2 linked regions of the Coturnix japonica genome follow. The protein of the gene in region 1 interacts with the protein of each later gene in a pairwise test. Links are inferred from orthologs where the notes say so. Each region holds a gene or a part of one and is shown in the gene's direction. Other genes may lie near its edges.

What was found.
Region 2: the proteins of KIFC3 (region 1) and NEFL interact in binary tests that used the Homo sapiens proteins (3 or more experiments, as listed by UniProt). The two-hybrid records come from large-scale screens. The link is inferred for Coturnix japonica from reciprocal best matches to the Homo sapiens genes KIFC3 and NEFL.

What each region holds. Positions count from the first base shown.
Region 1 is NC_029526.1:1,981,489-1,985,534, reverse strand, and holds the start of KIFC3 (kinesin-like protein KIFC3), read left to right. Parts: upstream 1-1,210; 5' UTR 1,211-1,225; coding exon 1,226-1,360; intron 1,361-2,666; exon of another isoform or gene 2,667-2,747; intron 2,748-3,564; exon of another isoform or gene 3,565-3,629; intron 3,630-3,672; exon of another isoform or gene 3,673-3,866; intron 3,867-4,046. UniProt on the Homo sapiens protein: Minus-end microtubule-dependent motor protein. Involved in apically targeted transport. Required for zonula adherens maintenance.
Region 2 is NC_029537.1:2,098,880-2,102,893, forward strand, and holds the start of NEFL (neurofilament light polypeptide), read left to right. Parts: upstream 1-1,195; 5' UTR 1,196-1,244; coding exon 1,245-2,294; intron 2,295-3,027; coding exon 3,028-3,195; 3' UTR 3,196-4,014. UniProt on the Homo sapiens protein: Neurofilaments usually contain three intermediate filament proteins: NEFL, NEFM, and NEFH which are involved in the maintenance of neuronal caliber.

The sequences.
Region 1 (4,046 bases):
TGATGGCATGGCATGAAATGGAGTGATATAGGATGGCATAAGATGGCATGGAATAGAAGAGCATGACATAGGATGGCATAGCATGGGATGGAATAGCATAGGACAGAATGGCATGGAATGGCATAAGATGGTATGGCATAGGATGGGGTGATATGGCATGGTGTGGAATGGCATAGCATAAAATGGTATGGTATGGGATGACAAGATGGCATGGCATGGAGTGACATGACCTGGGGTGGAATAAGGTGGTATGGCATAGTGTGGCATGGGATAGCATGCTGTGGAATGGCATAGGGTGGCATAGCATAAGATGGCATGGCATGGAATGATATATGATGGCATGGCATAGGATGGCATGACATGGGATCGCACAGGATGGCGAGGCACAGCATGGCAGAATATAGCGTAGCATGGCATGGCACAACATGGGATGGCATAGGATGGCATGACATGGCACGGCTCTGTCCTAGCACAAGGTGGAAGAATGAGCAGCAGCCTGGCGATTGGCTCAGCCCAGATAAGAGGCTCCTTTGTACTGCAGAAATGCTGCTATCACGTGCAGATCTCTCTGCTGCCATGGTTACTGCCTGCTGCAGTGCATGCAGCACAGCGGTGTGACCATGTTGAGCTGGGACATGCAGCATTAGCATGGCTCTGGGTCCTGCTGCAGCACTGGGCAGTGTCCCATCGCTTTTTACACGAAGGCTCTTTTCATTAAAGTGTTTTCCTGTGCGCTAATTACGTTGGTTTTCCTTCTGTAAATGAGCCCGATATGATCTGTGTGTCTTGGCAAACAGCCTCGAGAACAGTAACCAAAGCCTTTTTGTTTGATCGCTGTTTGCTTTGCAAATCTCCCTGCTCTCACCGTTCCTGGCTGCCTTCAGACAGCCTGCACGTGCGGGTTGATGGGAGGGAAATGGGGCTCTGTGTCATTCCTGCTGCAGGAACAGGAAAGGTTTGGGTGTTCCTGAGACCCTGGGGTGGATGGCTGCACTCAGGGAGCAAACGTGCTGCCATCTGAGCACTGTTATCTGCAGAGGGAGAAAAGTCCACCTGTCCACCCATCTAAGAAATAGGTTGTGTCAGCAATTTGCAGGGCTGGGTTTTAATCTGCTCTTAAGGCACCGGCAGACAGGAGCAGAGGAGACGTCGCTTTCTCCTCCACTGCAGACAGAGTTGCTCTGCAGCAGCCGCCCTGGGGGCCCTTTGGGGAGCAGGCAGTGCCATGCATGCGCTGGGTGCTCTGGCTGCACTCTCAGTGCTGGGCTGGACTAAGGACAGCAAATGGAGGAGCGTGGCTCTGCAGAGCACCAGGGGACTGCCAGGAGCGAGGCGGTGGGCAGCAGGGCCCGGCCCCCAGGTGAGAGACATGGGGTGGGAGCGATGGCAGTGAGCTGCAGTGTCCATCCATCGCCATGCAGCTCCAGGTGCGGGTGTAGGGCTGTGCATTATAGATGAGAGCTGTGAATAATGCATGGCAGGGTAAGTTTGCAGGCCGAGCAGTTGGGAGGCGACAGAGCTGTGCCATTGCTCTCCCCTTCCAGAAGGGCACAGCAGCACTGCTCTTCCCACAGAGGCTCCTATGGCTGCGTGTCCCTGTGGGATTCAGCTCTGAGCAGCCAAAGCCACGCACTCAGTGTCCCTTAGTGGCACGGCTGCTGACATCAGCCTCCAAACTCAGTTCCCTAAATTATTCACAATTACTGCTTGAGCGTCTCCTCCAAAACCAAACGTGCTTCCGAGGGCACTAAAAATAGACAGCTTCGCCGAGGACGGGATGCCTTTTTTAAAGGAGACCGCTGCCATCCTTTCTGCCTGTATTTGCACCTCCTGGCTCAGCTCCTGGGGAGAAGGGCAGGGATGGGGCCAGGCCCTGCAGGGACCCTCCAGCTGCACAGCAGGAGAAAAAGACAGGGCTGCTGATGTTGGGTGGGTGAGTGGGGGCAGCTCCGGGTCACCTGAGTGCTGCCCTATCTCAGCATCGCTGCCTGCGGGTTGGGTTAATTCCCACTGTGAACTTGGAAACGAGTACAAATTTCTCAGGAGCACACTAAGACTTAATTAAAACTCGTTAAAGAGCTCAGATGGCAACGAGGGACTGTGGGGTTTCGTTAGCTGCTCCTGTGGGCTCAGCACGGGGATCCCCTCACTGGGGCTCTCAGGGAGGAGTGGAGTTACAGCACTGAGCTGCGTTATCATTAATTGCTCTGTGGGGATGATTCTCGCTCCATCTGATGATCCTCCCGGTGGGAATTTCCTACAGAGAGCACCCAGGTGTGCCCACGCCTGCATTCCTGCCATCAGTTTGCTGGAAGGGAATGGAGGGGGAGGTTAAACTTTGGCCAGGATATCGTATTTTCCCCCCATCTCCCCCGAGGTGTTACAGATGTAGGTTAAATATTTGCTCGGGGCAGAGCAGACTGCAAATGCAAAGGGCCCCCATCGGCACAATCAATGGGGCTTCCCTCCATCCACACTCGTGGGCAAATAGGGGGGAAATGGGAATGAAGCCGCCTGGCTGAGCCGATCCCTCATTGCATACACACGCACAGGAGGTGGCAGCGGGGCTGGCCGCCCTCCTGCTGCTCTCCCAGCGCTCATTGATCCCGGGCCGGCACTCGGATGTCTGCTCCCAGGCTGGCAGCGAGGAGGGATGCTTTGCAGACGGGGAAAGAGCTGCTCTAAAAGGAAGGGCAGAGCCCGCGGCGCCGCGTTGGAACGTGGAGAGAAAGCAAAGGCAGCACGCAGTGAGCTGGGGCTGGAGAGAGGGGGGTGGGGGGGCAGCCCTATTGCTCGCGCAATATGAGGGTGATAGAGGGGCTGCTTCCAATGCGAAAGAGCCCTGAGGGTCGGGATTTCCATGCTCAGCCCCGAGTACCATCCTTAGGATAAACCCCACCGGCCCGGTGGGCACCCAGATCTCCTGGTGCATTGGGGTCCTGCTCTGGGAGCCGTCCATCTCCCCTCACCCATTTAGTCTCTTCTCGATGCAATTGACGCAACGTACGCCCGCTGCATAATTGCAATGCCATCAAAAAACCTGAAGCATTCAAAGGACAGGAAATGACTTAACGCCCAGAGCTATTTGCATAAACATTATTTTGCCCTCACAGCTCGTAAATTAAGGCAGTGACAATACGACATTTAGAGTCGCTGCTGGAATGCTTACAGTCACCTCGTGTCCGCCCGTGTCATCGCTGAACCAGCGGCAGCCGCTGCACGGACACGGGGAGCCCTGCGTGAACACCTACAGCACCCACAGTGGGGCTGAGAGAGACTATATGGGGCTGAGAGGGGCTGTGGGGGCTGGATAAGGCTATGAGGGGCTTTAAGGGGCTGAGAGGGGCAGGTCGGGGCTGTGTGAGGCTATGTACAGCTGAGAGGGGCTATATGGGGCTCTGTAGGACTGAGAGAGGCTGTGTGGGACTACGAGCAGCTGTAAGGGGCTGAGTGGCAGAGTTGGGCTACGTGGGGCTGAGAGTGGCATTGCGGGGCCGTGCATCCCCCAGGCACCGCCGCCCGTCGGGGGTCCCGGGCGTTACCAGGGCAACGAACCGGGGCGGAGCAGCCGGTGCCGACGCCCGGGTGGGCGGGACCGGGGCGGGGAGCGGAGCCGCAGCGGGCGGCCGGTGAGCGGCACCGGGAGGGAACCGGGAGCGGGCGGTACCGGGAGCGGGCGGGGCCGGGCCGGGCCGGGCTTCCCTTTGTGTGCGGGACGGCGGTGGGAGGGACCGGGGTGCGGAGCGGGACCGGCGGACTTTGCGAGGTGCCGAGTCGCTCTCCCTGCGGCAGCCGAGGGGTCGCGGAGCCGGGGACCCCCCGTGCCATGCCGGCAGCCCGCCCGGGCCGGGAGCTGCCCCTGCAGCGTGAGTAGCGCCCAGCTCCGCGGAGGGGCGGGGGGAGGAACCGGCAAGCCCGCATTCTTCGCATTGCTGCGCGGCCGGGGAGCGGGAGCGAGCTGCAGAGCTGCAGGGGCGTGGGGTGCCCTGCGGGTTGCGCGTCCTGCTGCTCGCCCTGCTGCCCGTCTCCTTCGGGCCTCAGCCGCT
Region 2 (4,014 bases), on another chromosome or scaffold:
AGCAACGTGCGAGCTTTTATTTGCTCTTTGCACGCTTGATTCCATCCAACGTGAGCTCAAATGAGAAGAGATTACAGCTTTCTGCCTTTGAGGGGCCATTGCCTTACACAGCTTAATACACCTCACCATCAAGTACAGTGTAACCTATGGGAGTGATACTAAACAACAGGTAATATTCTGAGAGCACTAGAAGATAGAAAGGAACCCAATGAAACCATCCCTGCCTCGCTTTTATTATATGATTCACATTAAGCAAGCTTATCTTTATGCAAGAAATAACCTGAGCACCATTGCAATTGGTGACAGGTACACAGATTCTACTTCTTTCTCCTTTCCTTAGGGAGCAAGAGAAGGTTTTTGCAGTACTTCCTGCTAAGAAATGCTGCTTCAGCATTTGCTTCTTCCTTAAGCAAAACCTGGAAAGTGTATTGGACTAAAATTAGCCCTTCTAAGTCAGAGAGACAACATAGAGACAACGTACCACCACCTTTTGGGCTATGTTTCCCTATTTCATTTTTAAGATGCAATCTCTGCTGTGTAAATACTGTTTTATTCTTCTTAGCAGCTCATAACCTGGGCCAGGGGTAGCTGTGATGGAGCCATGCAGCTTTAGTCTCTGCTGTAGTCAGATTGTGCCAAATATTCAGACCTTATGCTCTAAATTTGCCCCTGTGAGTGTTTCAAAGGATGAAGCAAAGCTGAATAACCAAGAATTAATGCATTTTGCTGGTACAACAAACCACATACTGTCTTTTCTTTCACCATTACCTGGTCATTAGGAACCACTGCTAACAATGCACGTGGTGAGGACGGAGGGAGAAAGGCTGGAGCCTCGCTGGAACTGCAAACATAAAGGGGAAAGGAAGGTGAAATGAGCTATTTATACACACGTTCAGGGGTTTCTGAGGTACGAGAGGGGGTGATGAGGTACAGAGGGGTGATGGTTCAATATCGTGATCCGAGATGGGGCTTTGCAACCCCGGGGATCCATCAGAGCGGCACGAGAGAAAATAGCGATGTGGGGCGAATACGATGGAGCTGCAAAGTGAACGCAGCCCACCCGCTTCATCACCAGCTCTGATAATCATCCGGGCTCATCACAGACCCCCACCATTACAGCAGCCTCAACGCAGCGCTCCGCCCCATCCCCGCCCGGCTGTCGTTCCTCCCACCCTCCCCGTCCATAAATACCAGCGTTCGGGCGGTACCGGTCCGCAGAGCCCTCGCTGATCCCCTCTACAGCCATGAGCTCGTACGGCTACGACCCGTTCTTCCCCTCTTACAAGCGGCGTTATGCTGACAGCCCCCGGCTGCACGTCTCCGCGATGCGGAGCGGTGGTTACAGCTCAGCTCGCTCGGCGTATTCCAGCCTCTCCGCACCCGTCTCCTCCGTGTCTGTGCGCCGCAGTTACGCCACCTCCAGCGCTTCAGGCTCCCTCCTGCACTCGGTAGACAGCCTAGATCTAAGCCAGGTAGCCGCCATCAGCAACGACCTCAAGTCGATCCGTAGCCAAGAGCGGGCCCAGCTGCAGGATCTCAATGACCGCTTCGCTTGTTTCATCGAGCGGGTGCACGAGCTGGAGCAGCAGAACAAAGTGCTGGAGGCCGAGCTGCTGGTGCTGCGGCAGAAACACGCCGAGCCGTCCCGTTTCAGAGCCCTCTACGAGCAGGAGATCCGCGAGCTCCGCTTGGCCGCCGAGGAAGCGACGAGCGAGAAGCAAGCGCTGCAAGGAGAGAGGGAGAGCTTGGAGGAGACCCTGAGGGGGCTGCAGGCTCGCTACGAAGAGGAGGTGCTGAGCCGCGAGGATGCTGAGGCTCGACTGCTGGAGGTGCGCAAGGGAGCGGATGAAGCAGCGCTGGCACGAGCGGAGCTGGAAAAGCGCGTGGACAGCCTGCTGGATGAGCTGGCCTTCCTTAAGAAGGTGCACGAGGAAGAGCTGGCCGAGCTGCAAGCTCAGATCCAATACGCTCATCTGTCGGTGGAGATGGACGTGTCGGCCAAGCCCGATCTGTCGGCTGCGCTGCGCGATATCCGCGCTCAGTACGAGAAGCTGGCGGCTCGTAACATGCAGAACGCCGAGGAATGGTTCCGAAGCCGCTTCACTGTGCTCAGCGAAAGCGCTGCTAAGAACACAGACGCCGTCCGAGCCGCCAAGGATGAGGTATCCGAGAGCCGCAGGCTGCTTAAGGCCAAGACGCTGGAGATCGAAGCTACCCGTGGTATGAACGAAGCGCTGGAGAAGCAGCTGCAGGAGCTGGAGGAGAAACAGAGCGCTGATATCTCAGCGCTGCAGGTGAGTTGGTTTGAGGAGGCTGCGGATGCACAGCGATATCTCGTGGCATAGTGCAGCATTGTGGTCTGAGGCATCCTTAAGGATGCTGCTATAAATCGCCTTAACAGTAGGAAAAGCATTAAGGGGAATGCACATGCATCAAAAACCAGCAGCAAAACAAAGCACAGGCAGCTTTTTAGACCTTAAATAAGAGAATTAGTATAAATGCACTTAAAATATCCCGGTTAAACTAGGGGTAGATGTTAAAAAATCAAATAAAGCATGCACAGCTCATGGATTCCTTAGTGCTTAAATAATCAAATAGCTAGGAATTGGCTTAAAAATAGCATTAGTGCTAGAGAGAGCGTAAGGGAAAAGCACAGATGTCATAAATGAAGTGGGGTATATGCTGCTCATAGATGCTTCTGTCCTCAAATTGCAATGAATTCACTTAGCATTAGGAAAAGCATGAGGGGGAAGCGCAGTTGTCAATGAAGCATGCACAGCTCATGAATGCTTTAGCCCTTGAATCATAAGAAATGTTATTCCTTAAATGATAGGGAATGAAGCTATTGATAGAGATGTAGGGGTGGAAGATGTGCCAGCATTGCTAAGCAGTGTTGCTTTGTGCACTTTGGGATGTGGAGCTGTTCTCCTTCTATCAAGGTGAAGTGATGAGGGTGCTGGAATTCTTGCAAGCATTGTTGATATACACAAAGGTTTTTTGCATTGCTTGTGTTCTGCCTTCCAACAGGATACAATCAACAAACTAGAGAATGAATTGAGAACCACAAAGAGCGAGATGGGTCGGTACCTAAAGGAATACCAGGATCTGCTCAACGTCAAACTGGCCCTGGACATTGAGATTGCTACCTACAGGTATGATGGGGGAGGTGTTTCAATAAACCATAATGTGAATTAGGTTCTCCTTTTTATGCGTATTCCTACTTAGTTTTCCTCCAGCAGAGAGTGCCATTGGTGGCAGAATTTAATAAGATTTTCTCCTTGGCTTTCTATTTGGAAGAAGCAGCGCTTTTAAGGTAACAGCTTGTGTTAAACAGAATCTGTGCTGCATAGCAAACATGAACATCATACTGTTCATATATATATATATATGCATAGGGAATTAGGAACTCAGCTGTGTAATCTCAGTTCTCCATCTTTACAAGTAAAGTGTGTTCTTGTACCTAGGAGCTCAAATCTCTTCGCTCTACAATGCTTTTATATCATTAAGACTTGTTAATATAGGTGGCTTTATTCTCAGGACTTAAAATCCCTTAGACACCTTTAACAATGAGGTTTCTTTCTAACTCACAAGCTGTGCCTTGCTAAGCCATTATCTTACTAAAGAATTACTTTTAAATAGCAAAAAGAAATCATCCTGGATGCCAGTAAGTGCTGAAATGGTTTCTAAGAGCCCCACAGGGGGAATACTGAAGGTGGCTATAAACCTTGTCTTACAGTTAACTGTGGCATAGAGCTGTTACATCCATACTGTTGTCTGGAACAACATAGCTTATTGAAATACATCTGTATTTCTACCTGTTGTAGAAACCTAATCCTGGGGGTGTGTTCCCCATTGTTTCTCCCAATGAGAAGTACTGATTCCAAAGTAATACACAACTCTGAAGCTTTAAAATTTTCCCAAGATCAGGCTGCTATTGCTGTACCATTAATATGGTTATATTTGCACTCCTGAGTATGCAGCCTCTAGAGCTTGTGCTGCTCAAAGCATATTGGC